3 linked regions of the Saccharomyces cerevisiae S288C genome follow. Changing the gene in region 2 together with the main gene of any one other region gives a genetic interaction. Each region holds a gene or a part of one and is shown on either strand. Other genes may lie near its edges. The genes, in order: MPC3, SDH1 and SDH6.

Region 1 (8,163 bases), on a different chromosome or scaffold from region 2:
ATGGTGAGAAAGATTGCAGACGAGTTTGTATCAGACGGTGTTGCCAATGAAGTCGCTGCTGCAGGCATTAATACCATTAGAGAAATATGCTCTCGTGCACCTTTGGCTATCGATGAGATTCTACTACAGGATCTGGTAGAATATAAGGGGTCTAAAGCTAAAGGTGTCAATATGGCTGCCAAGTCATTGATAGCGTTGTATAGAGACGTGGCACCAGAAATGCTAAAGAAGAAGGATCGTGGTAAGAATGCCGCCATGGAAGTACAAGAAGCCAAGAAAGGAGGTAAAGATTCAAAAAGACCGCAATTTGGTGCCGACAACAGTGTTCAAGGGATTGCTGGTATCGAACTGTTAGCCAAATGGAAGAAAGAACATGGTGAAGAGAGTGAAAATGAAGACGCTGATGCCAACTGGGAAGTAGATGTCGATAGCGAAGAAGACGATGTCGACGGTGAGTGGGTCACCATGGATAGTGATAAAGAATATGACGTTGATATGGAAGATAGTGACGATGAAAAAGACAATGCTAAGGGCAAGGAATCAGATTCCGATTTGGAACTAAGCGATGATGACGATGAAAAAGAAGTGAAGGATGAGCAAGAAGATGCAGATATAGATCCCGAAGCTGCCTTCCGTGAAATTGCTTCTACACGTATTTTAACTCCGGCAGATTTCGCTAAACTACAAGAATTGCGTAATGAGGAAAGCGTTGCTAAAATAATGGGTATCCACAAACAAGACAAGCGTGAAGAGTTAGTTGATGCAAGTACACTAACAGGCCCTATCAAATACAAACAGTCTCGTGAGGAAAGATTACAAAAGGTGTTGGAAGGTCGTGAAGGTAGAGACAAATTTGGTAGTAGACGCGGTAAGCGTGACAACATGCGTTCTACTACCAACAGAGAAAAAGAAAGAAGGAAGAACTTTGTTATGTCTATTCACAAGAGATCTGTTAGAGGTAAACAAAAAATGTCACTACGAGACAAGCAAAAAGTGTTACGTGCACACATCACCAAACAAAAGAAGAAGGGGTATTAGACGACATCGTAGCCATATTAATATATACATACATATACACAGATACATTCATCTCTCCAACTGTATGAGGACTTCTCTACCTTGAATGGAACACCAAAGCCAGGTAGATACTAAAAAAAACTCTTTTTATGTCTTGGTACAGAGAAAAATGCTCCAACTGGTATCGATTATGTGTTCATCGGGAATTCTCGGCTTTTCCCCGCAGCGGCGGAGTGAGTATTCTAAAAGTTGGTTGGCCTTTCAATTGCCGCGTAGTCAACATCTTTGAGGTTTTATATAAGATCGACGTTTTCCTTATCAGCACTTTGACGTTTTCTCTCGAAAAATAACAGTGACTATAGAGCGATAGTCCAGTTTTTTTGTAACTGACTTTTAGGTAGTTAGGATTAATAAGGATTGAGTCAATACAATCGAAAAAAATACTGAAGCATTGCAACTGAACAAAATGTACTCAAGAAAATCCTTATCCCTAATTTCAAAGTGTGGGCAATTAAGCAGGCTAAACGCGCAAGCTGCTTTACAAGCAAGGAGACACTTGTCAATTCATGAATACAGGTCAGCTCAGTTATTGAGGGAATACGGTATTGGTACTCCAGAAGGATTTCCAGCGTTCACTCCCGAAGAGGCTTTCGAAGCAGCCAAGAAATTAAACACTAACAAACTGGTCATCAAGGCGCAGGCATTGACCGGAGGTAGAGGTAAAGGTCACTTCGACACCGGTTACAAAAGCGGTGTTCACATGATCGAAAGTCCTCAGCAGGCAGAGGATGTTGCAAAAGAAATGCTCAATCATAACCTGATTACTAAACAGACGGGAATAGCGGGGAAGCCAGTATCTGCTGTATATATAGTGAAAAGAGTAGATACAAAGCATGAAGCTTATTTATCTATTCTAATGGACAGACAAACCAAGAAACCGATGATCATTGCGTCCAGTCAAGGTGGTATGAATATTGAAGAGGTGGCTGAGAGAACCCCAGATGCTATAAAGAAATTTTCAATTGAAACTTCAAAGGGATTGAGCCCACAAATGGCCAAGGATGTTGCCAAGAGTCTCGGTTTCAGTCCCGATGCACAAGACGAGGCAGCAAAAGCTGTTTCCAATTTGTATAAAATATTCATGGAAAGGGATGCTACACAAGTGGAGATTAACCCTTTGAGTGAAATTGAACATGATCCAACCCACAAAATCATGTGTACAGACGCCAAATTTGGGTTTGATGATAACGCATCATTCAGACAGGAAAAGATATATTCCTGGAGGGACTTATCACAAGAAGATCCTGATGAAGTTAAGGCAAAGAAGTATGATTTGAATTTTGTTAAGTTGAAGGGTAACATTGGATGTTTAGTCAATGGTGCTGGTTTGGCTATGGCTACTATGGATGTCATCAAATTAAATGGAGGCGATCCTGCGAACTTTTTGGATTGTGGTGGTGGTGCCACCCCTGAGACCATCAAACAAGGTTTCGAATTGATCTTATCCAATAAGAACGTAGATGCAATTTTCGTCAATATTTTCGGCGGTATCGTAAGATGTGACTATGTTGCCCTGGGGCTGGTAGAAGCCGCCAGAGAACTAGAAGTTAGGGTCCCCATTGTGGCACGTTTGCAAGGTACCAAAGTAGAAGAAGGCCGCGACATTATCAATAAGTCAGGCGTGAAGATTTATTCGTTTGATGAATTAGATCCTGCTGCTAAAAAGGTCGTTGAATTGACCCAAAATTAAGCTTCTCGAGAAAAACAAAAGAGTTAATAATAAAGTATATATGCTTTTTTACTATTAATAAAGTTTCTTATTTTCCCTACATGTATACATACATATAAATATACTCTTTTGGAAAAAATTTCTTTTTTTTTTTTTTAATTTTTTTATATTTTTCCATCTTTTGATGTAATATAGAGGTTATATAATGAAAGAATATATAAGAGGTCATAAAAAATCATTAAAAAAATGCGAGTTCAGGAACATATTATCGTTTACGTAATCAGTGCGTTATTGGCGGATTAGTACCGATCACACCTTTGTTCATCGATGTGGATGCAGTTTGCTTTGCTGCGACGGCTGCAGGAGTCTCCCCTTTTATTATGTAGTGAATAACCTGTTTAAAAGAATCACCGTTCCGTATCCTAAAGTTAGCAATTCTTGTTAGATGGTAGCCTGCAGTGCAACCCAGGAAAAAATTGACGGAAGCTAACAGATAGTTCTTGGGCTTGATGACAAACGACCAACGCGTCCAAATCAGTGCCGTCGCTAATAAAGATAAATTTTGTGCTCCTGATACCTTCTCAACAGGCCTCTTAATATCATTTAGCCCTGCGAAGACCAGCCCCCACTTCAAAGTTGGGGCCCAGAAGTGTACTGTTTTAGGGCCTGTTTCACTATTCCAAAATCTTCTAAAGGCAAAATTAAAAGCTGATGCTGACATTAAAAATATAGGTTTGTGTTTCTATGTGTCTTGAATGCTTATGCGTATAGTCTTAAAGACTGATTGTATTCTTTTTTTTTATATGAAGTATTTCCGCCGTAATGAAAGGGAAAAGAAAATTTTCTCCAATACTCCAATTGCAACGCACCATATTATCCGGGAGAATACACGCACGCAGCCGCATATATATATATGATGGCCTTAGTTTTGTTTGAGCCTTTCGGTTTTGCGTGACCAAACCAGGGAGCGGCTCGCTTGACCCGCCCACGGAATGACGTAAAGCCGTTAATAGCCGATTGGCGGGAGAAATAAAAGCGGGGCACTCCCAAGATGAGGGGTAATCGGGGTAATAATATCCAATCAAGGAGGAAAAGGGCCAAATGTTACCCGACTATCCAAACTGCAGGGTAACCTTTATTTTTTCTTTTCTTTTACTCCTACCATTTTTTTTTTCAGATTTTTCCCAGTATGGCTTTGTTTTCATTTTGCTTTGGTGGAGGGATAGATTAAGTTTGCAGCTGCGTAGAAAAGTTTCTTTTCTACATTCGAGGAAAAAGTCGACTTATTAGTCTGGTTAACTTGTTATTAGGGCTTCTTGCTTGAGTTATAATTTTAGAAGGAGAAAAAATAAATCTGTAGCAGGAGTACCAATTTGCTACGCTTGCTAACATCTACGAGAGTAACAATATCAAGCATACAAGCGCGACTGTCTCGGCTACCCCTATAATAGATATAGAGGCGTGTTTGTGAAACAATGTCTTCATTATATACTAAGTTGGTTAAAGGGGCGACCAAAATAAAGATGGCCCCTCCAAAGCAAAAATATGTGGACCCTATTCTCTCGGGCACTTCGAGCGCAAGAGGATTGCAAGAGATTACCCACGCATTGGATATAAGGTTGTCTGATACAGCCTGGACCATTGTTTATAAGGCATTGATTGTGTTGCATCTGATGATACAACAAGGCGAAAAAGATGTCACGCTAAGGCACTATTCCCATAATTTGGATGTTTTCCAATTGAGAAAGATTTCGCATACTACTAAGTGGTCTTCCAATGATATGAGGGCTTTGCAGAGATACGACGAATACCTAAAAACACGTTGTGAAGAGTATGGCAGGCTAGGTATGGATCACCTACGAGACAATTACTCCTCGCTAAAGCTGGGCAGTAAGAACCAGCTTTCAATGGATGAAGAGCTAGATCATGTTGAATCATTGGAAATTCAAATTAATGCCTTGATAAGGAATAAATACTCTGTTTCAGATTTAGAAAACCATTTGTTATTGTATGCATTCCAATTGTTAGTACAAGATTTACTAGGTCTGTACAATGCTCTTAATGAAGGTGTCATTACACTTTTAGAATCATTCTTCGAATTGTCCATTGAGCACGCAAAAAGAACACTGGATCTCTATAAGGATTTCGTGGATATGACAGAATATGTTGTTAGATACCTAAAAATAGGAAAAGCTGTCGGTTTGAAAATCCCCGTTATCAAACATATTACTACAAAGTTAATTAACTCCCTTGAGGAGCATTTGAGAGAGGAAACAAAAAGACAAAGAGGTGAACCTTCTGAACCGCAGCAAGATAGAAAACCATCTACGGCCATTAGCTCTACCAGTAGTCACAATAACAACAGCAATGACAAGAATAAGTCTATAGCGCAGAAGAAACTGGAACAGATAAGGGAACAAAAAAGACTGCTGGAGCAACAATTACAAAACCAACAGTTGCTCATTTCCCCCACGGTCCCACAAGATGCTTACAACCCATTTGGATCACAACAGCAAGATTTAAATAATGACACCTTTTCATTCGAACCAACCCAGCCACAAATGACCGCTCAAGTCCCTCAACCAACTGCTAACCCCTTCTTGATACCGCAACAACAGCAACAGGCTTTACAGTTGACATCTGCGTCTACAATGCCACAACCAAGTGAGATACAGATTACTCCAAATTTGAATAATCAACAAACTGGGATGTATGCTTCTAACCTTCAATACACCCCAAATTTCACCGGCTCAGGGTTCGGCGGATACACGACCACCGAGAACAATGCAATTATGACCGGCACTTTAGATCCAACAAAAACGGGGTCTAACAACCCATTTTCGCTAGAAAATATTGCCAGAGAACAGCAACAACAAAATTTCCAAAACTCCCCAAATCCTTTTACCCTCCAACAAGCACAAACCACCCCGATTCTTGCTCATAGTCAAACAGGTAATCCATTTCAGGCTCAAAACGTGGTGACATCACCAATGGGCACATACATGACGAATCCCGTGGCCGGTCAACTTCAGTATGCCTCTACTGGTGCGCAGCAGCAACCACAAATGATGCAGGGTCAGCAAACAGGGTATGTTATGGTTCCCACTGCGTTTGTCCCCATCAATCAACAACAGCAACAACAGCAGCATCAGCAAGAAAATCCTAACTTAATAGATATATAGTGAGCGATAGATACTACAGTTTTTTGTTCTCAACAGGCCGTCCTTGCATATTATAAACTCTGATTTTTAGGTAATCCCTTCCACCTTTCTATATTTTATGATACTATCCAAACATGTAAATTTTACGTACCATACATATAACCTCATCTATAATTTTTACCCTGATCTAACTAACTTTGGCATGCCTGGTTCAATCTACGGGTTACAGTCATCGTTGAAAACGATGGAAAAACATGTCGAGATTCCTCAATCCATACACCATTATAGTCCGTTTTATCAGCTTCCACTAATTTTTTAAATCTCAGTTTCTTCTTGAAATTTAGCATCGTGCATGGGATAGCGGCTAGTAAAAAAGAAAATTAATATCTCATTAACAAAGTTATTGTACATAATCCGGTACAATATTCTTCAATGTACTCTCTAATATCGAGCACACTGGCAATATTCATGCACACATTCGCCTAATGCTGACGAATGCTTAATCAGTGCAATTACTGCCACCCTCTTGATATGTGGGCTAAATCCTTTAGGACCTGTAAAAAATGCAATCACGTTTTCACATTTTTTTTTTTCTTGCGGAATTGCGGAATTTCCCAGTTGGCAGCGTTATCCGATTTGAGATCGACTTGCATCAACCTTTGAAAAATATAAGGATGAGAAAGTGAAATCGGTTTTTTTTTTCCATTGTCGTCATCAACATGATTTTTTAAATAAATAAATACGATTTTTTATTTTTTTTCCCTTCTTTGTTTTTGTTTTGCTTATTCCCATCTTCATTATTAAATTCTTCCGCTCTTAATAAAGGAGTTTTTTTATTATCTTCTTGTGTAATCATCCTTTTTCTTTAATTTTCTTCCTTTTCTTTTTCTCTTTACTGGTTTTTTTACTTCTTTATTCTCAACCATCTAAAGAATATTATTGCTTTCTACCAATAAAATCTGTTAATTCTATTTGGATTGTCGTCTACTCAAGTCTCGCCTAGTAAATAAACGATAAACAAATTTGAAGTAAGAATAACAATATAGGGAGAGAAATTTTTCTATTTTTAATTTCGAAACAGGTACCAAAAAATCTAAGTTCACTTTAGCACTATTTGGGAAAGCTTTTATATAAAAAATCTGAAACAAAATCATATCAAAGATGCAATCTCAAGATTCATGCTACGGTGTTGCATTCAGATCTATCATCACAAATGATGAAGCTTTATTCAAGAAGACCATTCACTTTTATCACACTCTAGGATTTGCAACTGTGAAAGATTTCAACAAATTCAAACATGGTGAAAATAGCTTACTATCTTCAGGGACTTCCCAAGATTCCTTGAGAGAAGTTTGGTTAGAATCTTTCAAGTTGAGTGAGGTTGATGCTTCTGGGTTCCGTATACCACAACAAGAAGCTACTAACAAGGCTCAAAGTCAAGGTGCTCTATTAAAGATTCGTTTAGTGATGTCTGCTCCAATCGATGAAACTTTCGACACCAACGAAACCGCCACAATCACTTATTTCTCTACTGATTTGAACAAGATTGTCGAGAAATTCCCAAAACAAGCCGAAAAATTGTCCGATACCTTAGTGTTTTTGAAAGATCCAATGGGCAACAACATCACCTTCTCAGGCTTAGCTAATGCAACCGATTCCGCTCCAACTTCCAAAGATGCTTTCTTAGAAGCTACCTCCGAAGACGAAATCATCTCTAGAGCTTCTTCCGATGCTTCTGACTTACTAAGACAAACATTGGGCTCTTCTCAAAAGAAGAAGAAGATTGCTGTCATGACTTCTGGTGGTGATTCTCCAGGTATGAATGCCGCTGTTCGTGCCGTTGTTCGTACAGGTATACATTTCGGCTGTGATGTTTTTGCTGTTTACGAAGGTTACGAAGGTTTACTAAGAGGCGGTAAATATTTAAAGAAAATGGCTTGGGAAGATGTCAGAGGTTGGTTAAGTGAAGGTGGTACTTTGATTGGTACTGCTCGTTCTATGGAATTCAGAAAGCGTGAGGGTCGTAGACAAGCTGCAGGCAATTTAATTTCGCAAGGTATTGACGCTTTGGTTGTTTGTGGTGGTGATGGTTCTTTAACCGGTGCTGATCTTTTCAGACACGAATGGCCATCTTTGGTTGATGAATTGGTTGCAGAAGGTAGATTCACTAAAGAAGAAGTCGCCCCATACAAGAATTTGTCCATTGTTGGTCTTGTCGGTTCCATCGATAATGATATGTCTGGTACTGACTCTACC
Region 2 (9,042 bases):
GAAGCGTTATTCGGAAGAAACTATCGGGTAGTATAAAGACATTCTGTAGTACTATTTAAATTAGAAAATTCATTGAACAAGGTAATATGTTTATCCTTTCAAAAATCGCTGACTTGGTACGAATCCCGCCCGATCAATTCCATCGCGATACAATATCGGCAATCACACATCAGTTAAATAATAAGTTCGCCAACAAGATTATTCCCAATGTCGGTCTATGTATTACGATTTACGACTTATTAACCGTCGAGGAAGGCCAATTGAAGCCAGGCGATGGATCATCCTATATTAACGTTACATTTCGAGCCGTTGTTTTCAAACCGTTTCTAGGTGAGATAGTAACTGGATGGATTTCTAAATGTACAGCAGAAGGCATAAAAGTTTCACTGTTAGGTATATTTGATGACATTTTTATCCCACAAAATATGTTATTCGAAGGGTGCTATTATACCCCTGAAGAAAGTGCATGGATTTGGCCCATGGATGAAGAGACGAAACTATATTTCGATGTAAATGAAAAAATTAGATTCAGAATCGAAAGAGAAGTTTTTGTTGATGTGAAGCCAAAATCACCCAAAGAACGAGAATTGGAGGAAAGAGCTCAATTAGAGAATGAGATTGAGGGTAAGAATGAAGAAACTCCTCAAAACGAAAAACCTCCAGCATATGCCCTATTAGGTAGTTGTCAAACTGATGGCATGGGACTCGTTAGTTGGTGGGAATGATAGATAAGGACGCCACTGACTTCAATAAAACATTTAATAATAATAGTAACAGTAATAATGAGGATAATAATATATAATAAACGTGAATTTTCTTTAGCATTATATACGCTAATTCTTTCTCTATTTGAGGGGATACTCTCGTATCCTTTTTATCTCGATAGTTGTAGTTGTACTTGTTGTTTTTATTAACCCTTCTCATAATATATAATAAAAAAGTACATTGACGTCAATTATATTGCATATAACGCGATGTGGAACTAAACTTCTTGTATCCGCTAATAACTTTATCAACAGCCTTCAGGAAATCCTTTTCAGTAGCCACCTTTCTTCTTGCTCTAATGGCAAACATACCGGCTTCTGTGCAAACAGATCTTAATTCTGCACCGGTAGAGTTTGGACACAGTCTGGAGATAAGTTCCCATCTGATGCCACGTTCCACACTCATTGATTTAGAGTGAATACGGAAGATATTTGCACGACCTTCCAAGTCAGGTAATGAAAACTCTACCTTACGATCAATTCTACCGGGTCTCAATAAAGCTGGATCTAAAGTGTTGGGCCTATTGGTGGCAAACATCACTTTAATGTTACCACGAGGGTCAAACCCGTCTAACTGTGTAATCAGTTCTAACATAGTTCTTTGAACTTCATTATCACCACCAGCACCATCATCAAAACGAGCACCACCAACAGCGTCGATTTCATCGAAGAATATAATGCAAGCCTTTTTGGTACGAGCCATTTCAAATAATTCTCTAACCATACGAGCACCTTCACCGACATATTTTTGCACTAGCTCAGACCCAATGACCCTAATAAAAGTTGCATCAGTTCTATTAGCAACAGCACGAGCACATAATGTCTTACCAGTACCAGGTGGCCCATATAATAAGATACCCTTTGGTGGATCAATACCAAGAGTAGCAAATCTTTCTGGAGATAATAAGGGCAGCTCGACAACTTCTCTCAGCTTTTCAATTTGGTCTTTACAGCCACCGACATCGCTATAAGTAACGTCAGGCTTTTCTTCAACGGTCATCATAGTAACTGATGGGTCAATCCTTGGAGGCAATGGAAGTTCAATATTATATTTCGACCTATCGACACCTACACGCATACCTTCTTCTATATCTGTTGGAGAAACACGTTCACCTAATCCGACGACAAATTTGGCAATTTGCTTAAGATTTATCACGTACTTGGCATCTTCATCGTCTTCGTCTGCATCAGTAGACTGTTGATTGCTATTACTATTGCTATTGCCGCTGTTATTATTATCTGTCGTAGTTTCGTCACTTTCACCATTCCCCTTAATGATCTTCGTGCAACGAGCGACTTGTAAGGGATGTTCTTCGCCCAGTCTCTGCCTATCACCCATAATATCCCATAGATGGGAGGGTGCTAACCCTGTATCGCTTTCTTTCACACCGGCCTTTTCTTTGATTCTCGCTTCAATGTCTTTTAAGTCATTCTCAGTTTGCTTTAATTTGGCTGCGTATGGAGCTGCACCGTATGATTTTAAGACTTGAATGTCACCTTCTGTTAAGGGTACGATCTTGTCATCATCAGGTTTTTTATCATCGTCTTCCAAAGGTGCCTTGTATTTTTCCCAGTCTTCTTTTGGTGGCATTCCGTATAGTTCCTAACTTCCTTGATTTATTACGATGGTTCAAAAAAATATCTCAATTGAATATTGCTTTGAATTCTCATCTCCTTGGAAAATACTGTATATACCCAGTTCTTTGTATAGTAAGCTGCATGCTAGTTTAGTTTTCGGGTGGCAAAATTCGGTAATCCTATTCACTATACCTTTTCCTCTCGTCCGGGTAAACTCAGCCATACCAAATTGACAAGGATAGTACATTTATGCTAATCATAATTAAAACAAGGTATGTGTGTTCCAGATGCATATAGATAACGAGTCATATATAAATATATATATATGTGTCTGTACATGATGTACTCGGTCAAAAATGGCGGATTACTGGCTCCACATTTTAATCGTCTGCCATGACGTGTAGGCCATGACAGCAACTCCAAATACTATGACGATTAAATCTAAAAGAAGCCTGGCTCTCGAGGTTCCAGATAAGATGGACGCCTTATAGTGCAACAATGGCGGGTATATGTAGATCAATGGGATACACGCGAAGGAGCCTACCAGTGATACAAATTTGTCCAAATCGTTGGCGCCTACCCAAGCGAGGATAGATGTCAGGACGACAATAGCGCAACGGAAATAGTTTTTCAACCATTTGACTTTCGGGTTGTATTTACCAGATGCATTTGAGGGAAAAGTCCAGTTTTCCAAAATACGTATCGCGGGAAATAGCTGCAACGGCGTGGATAACAAAATGGCTAATGCATACAGTAATTGAACAGTGAGAGTATAGGAAGTGTCCTGCGGAAAATTCAATAAAACAACAGTTTTCACGTCAGATCCAAAAGCGGCATAGCATAAGAGACCACATGATATGAAAATCACTGCCACGATACACATCACCGCGGACAACGATGGCCGGAAATGCTTCGGGTGTTTCATTGACTCCTGAATGGGGATAAGTAGGCCTATACCTTCAAAGGTGAATATGGCGGTACCGATGAACAACGACCAGTCCGCTTTATTGAACATAAGCATTGTATCGGATGCGACACCATTAACAGCAATATAATAAATGGAGTAAACGTAAACATAAACCAATCCCAGTAGAATAAATAGATCTGCTATTAACGCGGTCCCACTTAACTTGGCTATGTTTCTTGTCAAAGATAGTGGGACAAAGATGAGTACTTGTGCAAAGATATAGGTGGCTAGACTGATGCTGCCCGGTTTCAAATGGAAGAAATTTTCAGAAAAGACCTGCAAATTAGTTGCAGTGAAAACAGTGTATGCAGCAGAAAACCCGATTTGTGACAAGGCGATAGACGAAAGAATGGCAAATTTCATTTTGGGCCCATATAGTATACGACCCATGTCACCGTACCCATCTACGCCTACTTTGTCCTTGGTGGTAATCAATGATACGAAACATCCATAAGAAATGAGGGCACACGAGAGTAGACAAAGGGCGCTAAATCCCCAACCACCGTTATGGAAAGCCTTTGGTAGGAAAAGCACACCTGTCCCAACAAATGACTTTAACAAGAGCAGCACCGCCTTTACCGTAGATGATTTGTGAGGATGGCGCCCGTGTTCACGAGAAACTAGCTGGGTGCTTTCCGTTTCCAAAGCTTCCTCCTCTGGCTCCTCTTCAGTTTCTTCCTCCTCCTCCTCTTCTTCCGATAAATCTTCACCAGCGAAGTGGCCATACAAGGTCAAAAATTCAATAAAGTTCCTGGTGAAAAAATTCGGTATGGGCGCATCAACGTTATGTTTCCTGCGCTTCTGTATTATAAAAGATCTTCTGAATCCACCAGGAGCCCTGATTTCTTCGTGCGTCATCGGTGCGGGCGCCAGGCCTATTGCCGCTAGAGGATTCCCATTCGCCTCCGAGTTGTTGTTAAGGTGAGAGGAAGATGCTATAGAAGCGGCAGAAAAGCTCATAGACCTTTTACGATTCGAGAATGAGGGCGCTTGTGAAGGTATTGAGGTGGAAAGTGCAGGTTGACTTGGGTACTGATACTGCGATGGTGATGAAGGATGGTCGTTTGTCCACTTATACAGATCTCTTGTAATGTCTCCGCCTTGCAATTGTAGGCTGTTACTCGGGTTTCTTATCAAGTGGCGTGCCACGGCATCTACCACATGTGGCTCAGGGTTATTTATGCTCACTTCAAGCGTGCCATTGTTACAGGAAGTGTGCGACGCGTCGGGTACGCTAGCATGCACCGCTTCATTGTTCACAAGCAGCGGCGGCTTTTTTAGCAAACCACCTGTAGTTCCACTAGATTTTCTACTTCTGCTTCTACTTCTACTATTACCGTTGCTATTGCCACCGTTGCCGTCCGTTAAAGGTGAGCCAGACGCATGCGAGATTCCTGTACTGCCTCCGTTGTTATTTTTTTTGTTGTTGTTGCTCTGCGTTCTTCCAGAGCCACTTGAAACCTCTTTTCCATTCATATCCGCGATGCAATCCCTTATACGCTTCTTAATAAACTTTGCTTCCCACTCTTTCACTACTGACCATCGATCCTTCTTATTTCATAGCCTCACGAGCACAAATGATAATACGAGAAAAAGGCCCGACCGGGTAACCAACCCTTTTACTATCTCTCGCTCTACCTTTAGTAATAATGTCGTCTATATAAGGATTTACTCATACAGTAGTCCAAAATATACCTTTCCGTGCTAAAAGTAGCTCCCAAAAGTAGCGGAGGTGAGGATCATCCTCTATTGCCAGGTACCAAGCTCGCTGGAAAGTCGTTATGGAGTCACGGCTTTGAGGGCGGGGGTGGACCAATCACAGCGCAGAACGCGGCGCCGAGCAAGCGCTGGACCAAGGGATCCGGGCCTCTTCTATTGGTTGTTTGTTTGCTCAAACCCGTTATATATTCAGGCATCCTCGACTCTAACCTTTTGCCACGTCGAGGCGGCTTGAAGCTTAAATAGCACTAATAAACTAGTAGACACATTATAACTAACCAGTAGTATACTTTGCACTTTCGATATTCTTTTCACTAATCTCCTCCCCAACCCCTTATTGAAGATAAAAAGAAAGAAAGAAAGAAAGAAAAAAATCCAATTTCATAGTACGAAGAAGAACGAGAATAAAGATGCTATCGCTAAAAAAATCAGCGCTCTCCAAGTTGACTTTGCTCAGAAACACAAGAACATTTACATCGTCAGCTTTGGTGCGCCAAACGCAGGGCTCTGTAAACGGTTCCGCGTCCAGATCTGCAGACGGGAAGTACCACATAATAGATCACGAGTATGACTGTGTGGTAATCGGTGCCGGTGGTGCCGGCCTTAGAGCGGCCTTTGGTCTTGCCGAGGCGGGCTACAAGACTGCTTGTATATCCAAGCTTTTCCCCACCAGATCCCACACTGTTGCTGCTCAGGGTGGTATCAATGCCGCTCTGGGAAATATGCACAAGGATAACTGGAAATGGCATATGTACGATACTGTGAAAGGATCTGATTGGCTAGGTGACCAGGACTCCATCCATTACATGACCAGGGAAGCGCCCAAATCGATCATTGAACTGGAACACTATGGTGTTCCTTTTTCAAGAACTGAAAACGGTAAGATCTACCAAAGAGCCTTTGGTGGTCAGACCAAGGAGTACGGTAAGGGTGCTCAGGCCTATAGAACATGCGCTGTCGCAGACAGGACAGGACATGCTCTTTTACACACGCTTTATGGCCAAGCTTTAAGACATGACACACATTTCTTTATTGAGTACTTTGCCCTCGATCTGTTGACCCATAATGGCGAGGTCGTTGGTGTCATCGCTTATAATCAGGAAGACGGTACCATCCACAGATTCAGAGCACACAAGACCATTATTGCCACTGGTGGCTATGGTAGAGCATACTTCTCTTGTACCTCTGCTCACACATGTACGGGTGACGGTAATGCCATGGTTTCGCGTGCTGGTTTCCCCTTGCAAGATTTAGAGTTTGTTCAATTCCATCCTTCAGGTATATATGGGTCTGGTTGCTTAATCACTGAAGGTGCTCGTGGTGAAGGTGGTTTTTTGGTTAATTCTGAAGGTGAAAGATTCATGGAACGTTACGCTCCTACGGCCAAGGATCTAGCTTGTAGAGATGTCGTTTCCAGAGCAATCACCATGGAGATCAGAGAAGGCAGAGGTGTTGGTAAGAAAAAGGACCACATGTACTTACAATTGAGCCATCTACCTCCGGAAGTTCTAAAGGAAAGATTGCCAGGTATCTCTGAAACAGCAGCCATTTTTGCTGGTGTAGACGTCACCAAGGAACCTATTCCCATTATTCCTACCGTCCACTATAACATGGGTGGTATTCCCACGAAGTGGAATGGTGAGGCATTAACCATTGATGAAGAAACTGGCGAAGACAAGGTTATTCCCGGTTTAATGGCTTGTGGTGAAGCCGCTTGTGTTTCTGTCCATGGTGCCAATAGATTAGGTGCCAATTCCTTGTTGGATCTTGTTGTCTTTGGTCGTGCTGTTGCCCATACGGTTGCTGACACTTTACAGCCTGGGTTGCCACACAAACCACTACCTTCTGATTTGGGTAAAGAATCCATCGCAAACTTGGATAAACTAAGAAATGCTAATGGTTCAAGATCTACGGCAGAAATTAGAATGAATATGAAACAAACTATGCAAAAGGATGTTTCCGTCTTTAGAACACAATCATCTTTAGATGAAGGTGTTCGGAACATTACTGCAGTAGAGAAGACCTTTGATGATGTGAAGACGACCGATAGATCAATGATCTGGAATTCTGACTTGGTTGAAACTCTGGAGCTACAGAACTTATTAACCTGTGCCTCCCAAACAGCTGTTTCCGCTGCTAATAGAAAGGAATCCCGTGGTGCTCATGCAAGAGAGGATTATCCAAATAGAGATGACGAACATTGGATGAAGCATACATTATCCTGGCAAAAGGACGTCGCTGCCCCAGTGACTTTGAAATACAGAAGGGTTATCGATCACACTTTGGACGAAAAGGAATGTCCTTCCGTACCTCCAACTGTAAGAGCCTACTAATTTGAACCTCATTGTATTTTACGGAAAAGAATATCATACTCTTCTTTAATTGCACTTTTTTTGTGCGTTTGCACTTTTTTACCACTGACTCACTAATTTGTATATATACCTATTAATATACATTTACATAAAGTTTCTTCTTATACATACTCTATTTATTTAGTTATTTATTAACTTACTATTTATTTATTTATTTATTTATTTATTTATTACTTTCAATTTTTTATCGAGGCATTTCCTTAGTTCTCCAATTTTTTTTCTCATTAGCCAGATGTGTGTTTTTCTGGCCCTCACAAAAAATGAGCAGGAGAAAGTCATATGGCGAACGTAAATATGTAACTAAAAATTAAGATGGGCAGACATTTATCATTTTGCTTATGACTAAATTGCGAATTGCTGTACAAGGGTGCTGTCATGGTCAGCTAAACCAAATTTATAAAGAAGTGTCACGAATCCATGCGAAGACTCCCATCGATCTATTAATTATTCTTGGAGATTTTCAAAGTATTCGTGATGGTCAGGATTTTAAGTCAATAGCCATACCACCAAAATATCAAAGACTCGGTGATTTCATATCATACTACAATAATGAGATTGAAGCCCCAGTCCCTACTATTTTTATTGGCGGTAATCATGAATCGATGAGACATTTAATGCTTCTGCCACATGGTGGTTATGTAGCAAAGAACATTTTTTATATGGGATACTCTAACGTTATATGGTTTAAAGGCATAAGGATAGGTTCATTGAGCGGGATATGGAAAGAGTGGGATTTCAATAAGCAACGACCAGATTGGAATGACCTAGAAAATAACAATTGGAAAGCTAACATAAGAAATCTGTATCATGTAAGAATTTCTGATATTGCTCCTCTTTTTATGATCAAGCATCGTATTGATATTATGCTGAGCCACGATTGGCCCAATGGAGTCGTTTATCATGGCGATACTAAGCACTTGTTGAAGCTTAAGCCTTTTTTTGAGCAAGATATTAAAGAGGGAAAACTAGGCAGCCCAGTGACCTGGCAACTACTAAGAGATTTGCGGCCTCAATGGTGGTTGAGCGCCCATTTGCATGTCAGGTTCATGGCCTCCATTAAGCATAATAAAAGAAGCCACGAACCGCCTAATAAGTCAACTTCAAAGACAAAAAAAAACAATAATGAAATAGATTTGGATTTATCCAGTGACGAGGACGAAAGGTCTGGTATTATGAATTGCCAAGAAGAGAATGAGTATGATTCCAAATACGGCGAGACACGGTTCTTGGCGTTGGACAAGTGCCTGCCAAGAAGACGTTGGTTAGAAATTCTGGAAATAGAACCGGATACATCGCATGCTTCGTGGAAGGACGAGAATCACCGTATGTTCTGGGATCCTGAATTTATCAATAATTTGGTAATTTGTCAAAAAAATAAGAATCTCCTAAGCAATAAACCGTTTAATAGCGTCAATTGGATAGAACTGTCTCAATCTAATAGAGAGGAAGGAAGGGATATTGATTGGGAAAATTATGCCATTCCTGCATACACCTTAGATATTCAGAAAGATGAAGTACGACAAACTAAAGCATTTATCTCTAAATTCATGACTTGAGAGATATTTCTATTACGAATGCAGACGGAATTAGAGCTTAAAGCCAAGCCTTCTTGAGAGAATTTTTAGTCATACACATGAATATA
Region 3 (7,806 bases), on a different chromosome or scaffold from region 2:
TTTAAAAGTGAGAAAAGCCGTCACCGATGAGTAGGTTAGCGTCACCTAGTGGCGGTGGTAAATATTATTACATAAACATATCAAAGTTTTATTAATACATTTTTTAATCCTTTAAATTTTCTGGAAACTAATACATAATGAAACTCGGAAAAATTAAATTTAATAAAACCAAATTAAATCAAACAAAAAATTGACAATTAATTATTTCTTTTCGAAATAGTCCGCCATTTCCTTGTCCAGATCTTCAAGACTTTTCTTAGCAGGCTTTTCTCTCTTTGGTTTGTTTTGGGATTTTGCCATAGCAGCTTTTCTATTTGGACCCCTCTTTACTGGTCTTGGAGCGTTTCCGCCTTTTTGTGGCATAGCCTTGATCCTGTCGGCTAAACTTTTGACTGGGCGTTGGTTTGGATCAACGATTAGGTTAAGTCTCAATCTTGATCTGCCTCCATCGATTGGAGAGCCGTTAAATCTTTCAACAGCCCTTCTGGCCAATTCACCGTTTTTGAATGTGATGTTAGCCATACCAGTAGATTGGCCCCTTTCGTTATAACTCAACAAAACTCTTTGAACACCACCTACTTGAGATGCAAAAAATTCCTATAATAAAAAAAAAAAAGTTAGTCATATATCTCTATGATATAAAATCAAAGAAGGAAGGGACAATACACAAACAATCAAGGAGTTGAGAGTATTAAAAGTATACCATTGCGTAGGAAAAATAAACCCTCAAATAAACATGTACCACGATGGGTGAGTTCCTCTTTGGTTTCATTAGGTGTCTCAAATCAAATATTTTTGTAACTATCATAATAAAAAAATGAAGCGATGCACTCATATCTTTTCGAACGTTCATGAAAGACATGTTTCCCATAGCTATTTTTTGAAAATGGTGCCATTCGAAACTGAAAGCTACTCCCTCTTGAAAGGATACAAAATTAATTGATCCTTCCACAACTTCAGTATTGGATGATACGCTTATTAAAAATAGGAACTAACTATCACGGTCGAGGCGACACAATACGCCAGCTTAAAAATGTAAGATTGACAGATTAGCAGATAGTCAGATTGATTTGAGTTAACCCAGCCAATAAGAACAAACCCATTCTCAGTGGTAGCTGGTAATTCCAACCTTATAGGCCATGATTTGAAGTATTGAAAAAAATTGGTATGGTTGGCTTATGAAAACGATACTCTTTTTGTATTTTCTCTAGCGAAGTATTTCGGACTCTTTCTTCATCTCTAAAAAGAGAATTCTTGATCAAAAGCGTGTGCCATATCCTTCCTTACAAAGAATATTTCTCGTATCCACACGAGACGATGCGAGTAACTAAACAAATAGCTCTCATTTCACGTATTAACATACTCTTACAGCATCCTGCTTAATGTCCCTTGGCAAACCTTCGACGTTGACCTTGACCTCTCTAGTGGTGTCCAAGAGCTTGGCAACTCTAGCGACTGCGTTTGGAGGTGCCCTAGTATTTTTTCTGATAGGGCCTCTTCTGTTTGGAAGGCTCCTACGTTGGCTACCAACTTGCTTACCAACTCTTCTTGGACCGTTACCACGAGTACCACCGACACGGGCTCTATTACTTCCTGCTTTGTTAGAGCCAATGATTTCGTCTAAGGATTTATCTAAGTTAGCAGACATTTAGCAGATGTAGGTATTTTCTTAATATGGATTTCTTAAAGTTTCAAATAGAACGAGGGAGATTTTTTTATCTATTTGTCTTCGATAGTTTTCGGATAAAACTTCTTCTAACAAAAAAACCTACTACTAAACACACGATAGGAATGACAGAAAAAAGCGAACGGAAGAAGTGAAAAAGGATAAATTTGGCGGCCTTTTATAGTTCTTCAAGTGGTGAGCCGAAAGCCGTGGAAAAACAACACGTCTCCCCGCCCCTGCCTCGTCGCGAAAAAAAAAATACTAGCAACTGGACAAAGAACTCTGTGGTAGTGGTAAAATAGCTTTAATATACGTATTTACTTTGTAAATATAGTTACATAAGGGTTTTTTATGTGTTAATGAACAGAAAACGAACAATTGGTAGCAGTGTTTTATAATTGCGCCCACAAGTTTCTATTTTTTATTTCTTTTAAGTGCCGCTGCTTCAACCATGCACTTTAGCTGTTCGGGGAAATCCAATTCGCCTAATTTGACTTCTAAAAGTTCTATCCCGCTTCTTTTGTTTGAATTCTTAAGCTCCTCCAATTTCAGTGCTAATTTAGAGGGACATTGAATGAGAGTGCTATTAGTATACTTTCCGTCGAAGTCTCCGAATGCTTCAAATAGTTTGGTCCATTTCCAAGACATAACGTCGTTATACGACCTGGTAGGGCCCATGATGGCTCTTTCAATAGTGTAGCCGTTATTGTTCCAAATGATAACTTCTAGTGGAATATTGCACTTCAGAATGGTGCTCAGTTCTTGGATTGTCATCTGTGCTGCACCGTCACCTTCAAACAAAATTAATCTTGGCTTATAGTCCTCTTTTACGTTGCCACCATTGATGTGAGCGTTTGAGTGGTCTTGCATGGCAATTCCAACACCTAGGGCGGCAGGAAGGGCCATGCCAATGGAAAGGAAAAATCCTTGCGATATATATTTTAATTGCGAAGGAAACGCGAAATCACGAACAGAGAATTGAAAAGAGCCTGTTTCACAAACGACAACATCACCAGGGTTCAAAAATTTAGGCATCGTCTTTTGTAAGTGAACTTGTGTAATAATGCTTGATTGTCCATTGGTAGGATCTTCTAACCGCATTGTTTCGTTCGTATATTGAGTTACATTTGAATCATATTGCAAAGAAAGTTTAGAAACGTCAATGCGCTTGTATAGTTCTTTTAAAATAGGGGCAAAATTGATTCCTTTGAACATTTGCTCATTGCCCTGCCTAGTGTCCACAAGGCGAATATAATTCGGATGAAATTGAATGATTTTAGCATTTGGTTTATAAGTAAAAGTATAATGCCCATTATTAATTTCATTGATGTCGACTCCAAAATGCAAGACCAAGTCGCACAGTTCAAAATGTTCATAGACTTGTTTTAAACCTTCTTTACCATTATATTGACCCATATAAGTTGGGTTTGACTCATCAATTACAGATTTTCCCATAACAGTGGAAAAATTCCAAATCCCAGTTTTGCAGATAAGCTTGTTCAAAAAGTTACTCACACCATACCTATCAGTCAGTACGTCTCCAAGGATCGCAGGTGTTTTACTGGAATATATCCAACTAGTAATCTTGTTGATTATGTCAGACAATTGGTTTTCAGAAGGGTATACTATACAATCTTGTTGAGATATACGTGGAACATTAACCAAATTATCACATGTAACAGACATATCCGCAAAATCTGCAGGAACAAAAATATAACCAGGTTTAGAATACTTGTAAATATCGCGGATAACATTATCGACTTGGTCACATGCAGTTTCAATATCCTCCAAGTAGGCTACCGAGCAAGCGACTCTATCTTTTACCATATCATGATATACTTTATGATTTGGCCCTTTAAAATTTGAATCATGTAGCTGTGGGACCAAATGATGTAGGTTCCGATCACTAAAGTTACTTGAACGCGAATCTATGGACTTGGCCACACCAACAATGTGCAAAACTTTGACATTTTCAGCGAACGAACCGGCTATACCGTTCAAGGCGCTTAATTCACCAACGCCATACGTGGTTATTAAACAGCCAATCTTATTAGAGTAACGGGAATATCCGTCGGCCGCATAAGCGGCGTTCAGTTCATTACACGTGCCGACCCATCTTAGGCCAGCTGATTCAACACTAGGTGAATAGAGATATTCTAATAGAGATAAGTTGAAGTCACCAGGAACACCGAAAACTGATTTCGTATCGATGGACAACAATCTTTTAAATATGTATTCACCAAACGGAATTGTTGCTGATCGGTTGGAAACAAGGTGTCGTTCTTCTTGATTTACGAACTTTTCAATTGTAACAGGTGCCATGCTTAAGGGAGTTTCTTTGTTATCTTGTAAATAAACTTTACAGAAGTCGCGTCAACTTGTTTTGAGTATCAAGTTGAGAGGGTTGATCAGTTAAATATGTTTTATATCAGATTTTATGTAGTATTAATAAACGCAGAAAAAAAATGAAAGTGAGCTGCCGCTGTAGTGACGATGCAAACTAGCCCAGTTTATATCTTAAACTTTACTCAACACAATAAATAAGATGCCACTAACCTATTACATACCGACACTTACCGAAGGTATCAAAGCTCCGCCGCACAAAAGTACGACAAATGCTCAGCATGACCTCGGCAATTTTCGGTAAATGACGGCTATCCGCGGTTATCCCTCCCGGTAGGTAACCGACACTTTGGAGAGGATTCGCAAAGGCTCAAAGTAATATATGACGGCTTTTTCAAAAAATAGCCTAAGCCTACTACCAAATGTTAATAAGGAAGCTACATGAGGTGTACAAGCATCGAATTTTGGATTATCTTTTTCGCTAAGACGTTGTTGTACGCTTTCAATCCTGCTTTTTTAAATTTCGGTGGACGAACCAATCTAAAATGTAGTAAAACTGGTAGATGTTAATTAATTAACCTTGCAAAGCCGAAGAAAAAAAGGGGTTCGCCAAATTATTCTTAACAAAGATAATGTAGCTTAAACACACAAGAAGAAGAGGAGACGCAATACCAAGAGCATGCCTAAGAGATTAAGTGGGTTACAAAAAGAAGTCTTACACCTGTATAGGGCTTCCATACGAACGGCTCATACAAAACCAAAGGAAAACCAAGTTAATTTTGTGAATTATATTCATGAAGAATTTGGGAAGTATAGAAATTTGCCAAGAAAAGACTTCACCACCATTGAACACTTGTTACGGGTCGGAAACAAAAAAATTGCCACCTTTTCACACCCTGAACTGACGAATATACATTGAACTATTTTCTTACTTTATTCTTTTTTCATATGATTTCTTATTTAATCTATCCTATGTTTATTTAACTTTTGCAAATCTGTATTATGCTTGCTTAAATATGTCTCTATAGTTTCCAAGTATAAATTCCACGATATAATTCCTCTCCTTCATGTCCACAATATCTTTCTCGCCGTCAAAATCGTGGATAAGACTCGGTGCAAAGACCAACGACAAGTTATGTAAGTTCATTAAATTTCTTTCACTGCACCTTCGAACTTTGCCGATATGTGCTGCCAATACTTTCAATACTTCCTGATGCTCTACGGGTAAAATTTTGAAAATTTCAAGTAGGCTTTTGAGCACCATTTCATAAATAGTCACTTTTTGTGGTGAATCCAAAAACTTGTCGTTGTTTAATGGTAGCCTCTCAATTAGTTGGTTATTTCTAACTAGATCTATCAAGGCATCGTATATGGAAAATGATAAAACTGGATCTGGTAGTTTTCTCAAATATCGTTTTAATACGCTAGCCACTGCATGAATATCTTGATTCAGTAAAGCATTCAGTTTGGGACTTAATGTATCACTATGCAACGAATTATTCTGAGCGAATTCATTTTCGATCTCCTCAACCAAAGTCTGTGAGCCCGACTTTCTGTATAAGCCTTCCATGTTCAGGCCTATATCATCTTTTTCAATGCGATCAATGCAGCACCTGATAATTATTGGAACAGTACTTTTTTCATACGCACATCGAGCTTGTAGCGAAGATCCATATAAATGGGAACCATCAGGCGTATAATCTAATCTCTTTGGACTTGGCGACAGTGGTACTTTGCCTGGAGAAGGAAGCTCATCGTGTACTCGAATTAATTTCGGTGATGATATTTCTTTCTGTGCTATATTTGTCGTTCCGCCTGAAGATGAATTTGGCGAACGTTGCTGTGATTCTAGATCGCCTACCTGGTGATCCTTAGCACTTGAAAATATTTTCCAGAAGCGTGGTTTAGGACTGGCATTAGATATGCTCCCTTTTCTGTCGGAATTTGAACTTGGTGACTTTACAGTGATTGATGTTGCAATGTTTTCTTTTTGTTCTAAGGACTCCCGGGAAGATGCAGATTGCTTATCCTTTTCTCTTGTTAAATTGTCAACATCATTTAACAGCCTCTCTTTCGCTAATCTTAGATTTTCAACATCTTGTAATAATTTTTTCTTCGTACCTTCTAGTTCCCTCACATCTAATTTTAACTTCCTTAAAGTCAACTCAGTAAAGTAAAAGTCCTTTTCCAAGCTTGTAGCGCTTTCATCAGTAGCATCCACTTTCGTGGAATCGTCTTCCAACAATGCATTAGTGGATCTAGACGTCTGTAAGCTAGAAGATCTGTGGTGTGCGGACTCAGATGACAGAGATGGCCTCTTAAATAATGGCCCTGATTCCAAAGGCGGCGTACGGAACATTGCTATATGATGCCCCGAGCTTGAACTTGTAAATGAACCATTTATGCGTCTATTAGTGGCTGTATCATTAGAATTTTGCTTTTTGGATATACTGCCAAGGCTGCTTTGCGCTTTTTTGTGATTAAACTCCGGTACTGTAAAATTTCCATGTTGTGGTAGAGTATTGTATATTGTACTGTCACTTTGGCCTCTTGATACAGGATTTTTTTTGGCTTTTGATTTTCTTATATTTGTATGAGTAGAGGAAACACCCCAGCCAGAATGAGTGTCTGATTCCTGTATAGAAGTGCTGTGATGGGGATGCTTTGGGTCCAGCATTTCCGAAGTTTTACTTTTCAGGTTGTGAACAAAATTTTTGGACTTCAAAGAAAACGATCTTGAAAGTTTTTTGTTTGGAGAGGGTGCTACTTTTTTATGCGGCAATAAGTTATCTGCTGTTTGAGGCCTGCTGAAACTTCCATTATCAGACAAACGTAATGTCGATGAAGAGGTTGATGTTTTCATTTCTACGGTATCGGTTCTTGTAATCGGGGAGACATGATTCATAGATTTGGAAGTTGACGTTTGAATACCTTGAGATGATTTGTTATTTTCTTTCGTAGCTTCTGATAAAGTTAATGCCAGTCCATGCGGAGGTTCGACCTCTTCGTTCATTTGTACAGCCATAGGGCTGTTCAAAGGACTTGTAATTTTATCAGTGCTATTTCTGGGTGTGTTGACGATGATTTCATTCTCTTTGTTGTCTGTATCATCTTTGTCTGTCTCTTCTTTATCATAAATTGAAAAGAATCTATTCGCGTTCGAGTTCGAATTTGGGATCCTCGGATCCTTTACCACTATGGAATCTCGATTTGCTCTTTGTGGTTTTAATAGCCTATAGGTTACGTCTTCACCCATTTTGTTGATGTAGTCCTCATTATCCACCAAACTCTGCTCTTCAATGCTATTACTATCGTGTTCCAAAGTAGAGTTCAGAATGTCGTCAATAGAAACCGTCCTTGCGTGAGAAGATGTTTCCTCCCTGTCCTTGCTGTTATCATTATCATTATTGTCATTCAACGATGATTCATCTCTTTCTTGTGATACTAAAACTTGTGGAGTGAGCTGTTGATCCTCATTCGAGCTTACAAGGTTCTTACTTATTGCGGTGTTGTTTGTACTGACATCTGACTTACCATTTATTCTGGTGGGTGACAAGGGCCTTTTGACTGATCTTTCAGGAAGTTTTATGGGAAAATCTTCTTTCGATGAATTTTTTGTTTGATTTTCCAGTAATAGTTGTTTTTTTCTCAACAATTTCTCGTGACAATCCATACAACATAGTCCTCGTTTTGTCTTTGCATACTTTAAGTTCTTTATACGGTTGCTGCACCGACAGCATCTGAAACAATTGGAACAATAGGCCTCATTTGAGGAAGGCAGTATAATTGCTGTGTCG

Evidence for each region.
Region 1: of SDH1 (region 2) and MPC3, changing one enhances a phenotype caused by changing the other (phenotypic enhancement), as found in Saccharomyces cerevisiae (one study listed by BioGRID).
Region 3: of SDH1 (region 2) and SDH6, changing one suppresses a phenotype caused by changing the other (phenotypic suppression), as found in Saccharomyces cerevisiae (one study listed by BioGRID).

Annotation. Positions count from the first base shown.
Region 1 is NC_001139.9:972,640-980,802, reverse strand, and holds MPC3 (mitochondrial pyruvate carrier), read right to left. Parts: upstream 3,468-8,163; coding exon 3,027-3,467; downstream 1-3,026. Other genes in the region: SDA1 (Sda1p), read left to right, coding at 1-1,038; LSC2 (succinate--CoA ligase (GDP-forming) subunit beta), read left to right, coding at 1,484-2,767; YAP1802 (Yap1802p), read left to right, coding at 4,222-5,928; YGR240C-A (uncharacterized protein), read left to right, coding at 6,026-6,226; PFK1 (6-phosphofructokinase subunit alpha), read left to right, coding at 7,069-8,163. UniProt on the Saccharomyces cerevisiae protein: Mediates the uptake of pyruvate into mitochondria.
Region 2 is NC_001143.9:167,526-176,567, reverse strand, and holds SDH1 (succinate dehydrogenase flavoprotein subunit SDH1), read left to right. Parts: upstream 1-5,438; coding exon 5,439-7,361; downstream 7,362-9,042. Other genes in the region: DNA-directed RNA polymerase III subunit RPC25, read left to right, coding at 87-725; proteasome regulatory particle base subunit RPT1, read right to left, coding at 952-2,355; AVT3 (Avt3p), read right to left, coding at 2,707-4,785; DBR1 (RNA lariat debranching enzyme), read left to right, coding at 7,739-8,956.
Region 3 is NC_001136.10:1,230,400-1,238,205, reverse strand, and holds SDH6 (Sdh6p), read left to right. Parts: upstream 1-4,688; coding exon 4,689-4,928; downstream 4,929-7,806. Other genes in the region: RNA-binding protein YRA1, read right to left, coding at 202-597, 1,364-1,648; phenylpyruvate decarboxylase ARO10, read right to left, coding at 2,081-3,988; GTPase-activating protein RGA2, read right to left, coding at 5,010-7,806. UniProt on the Saccharomyces cerevisiae protein: Plays an essential role in the assembly of succinate dehydrogenase (SDH), an enzyme complex (also referred to as respiratory complex II) that is a component of both the tricarboxylic acid (TCA) cycle and the mitochondrial electron transport chain, and which couples the oxidation of succinate to fumarate with the reduction of ubiquinone (coenzyme Q) to ubiquinol.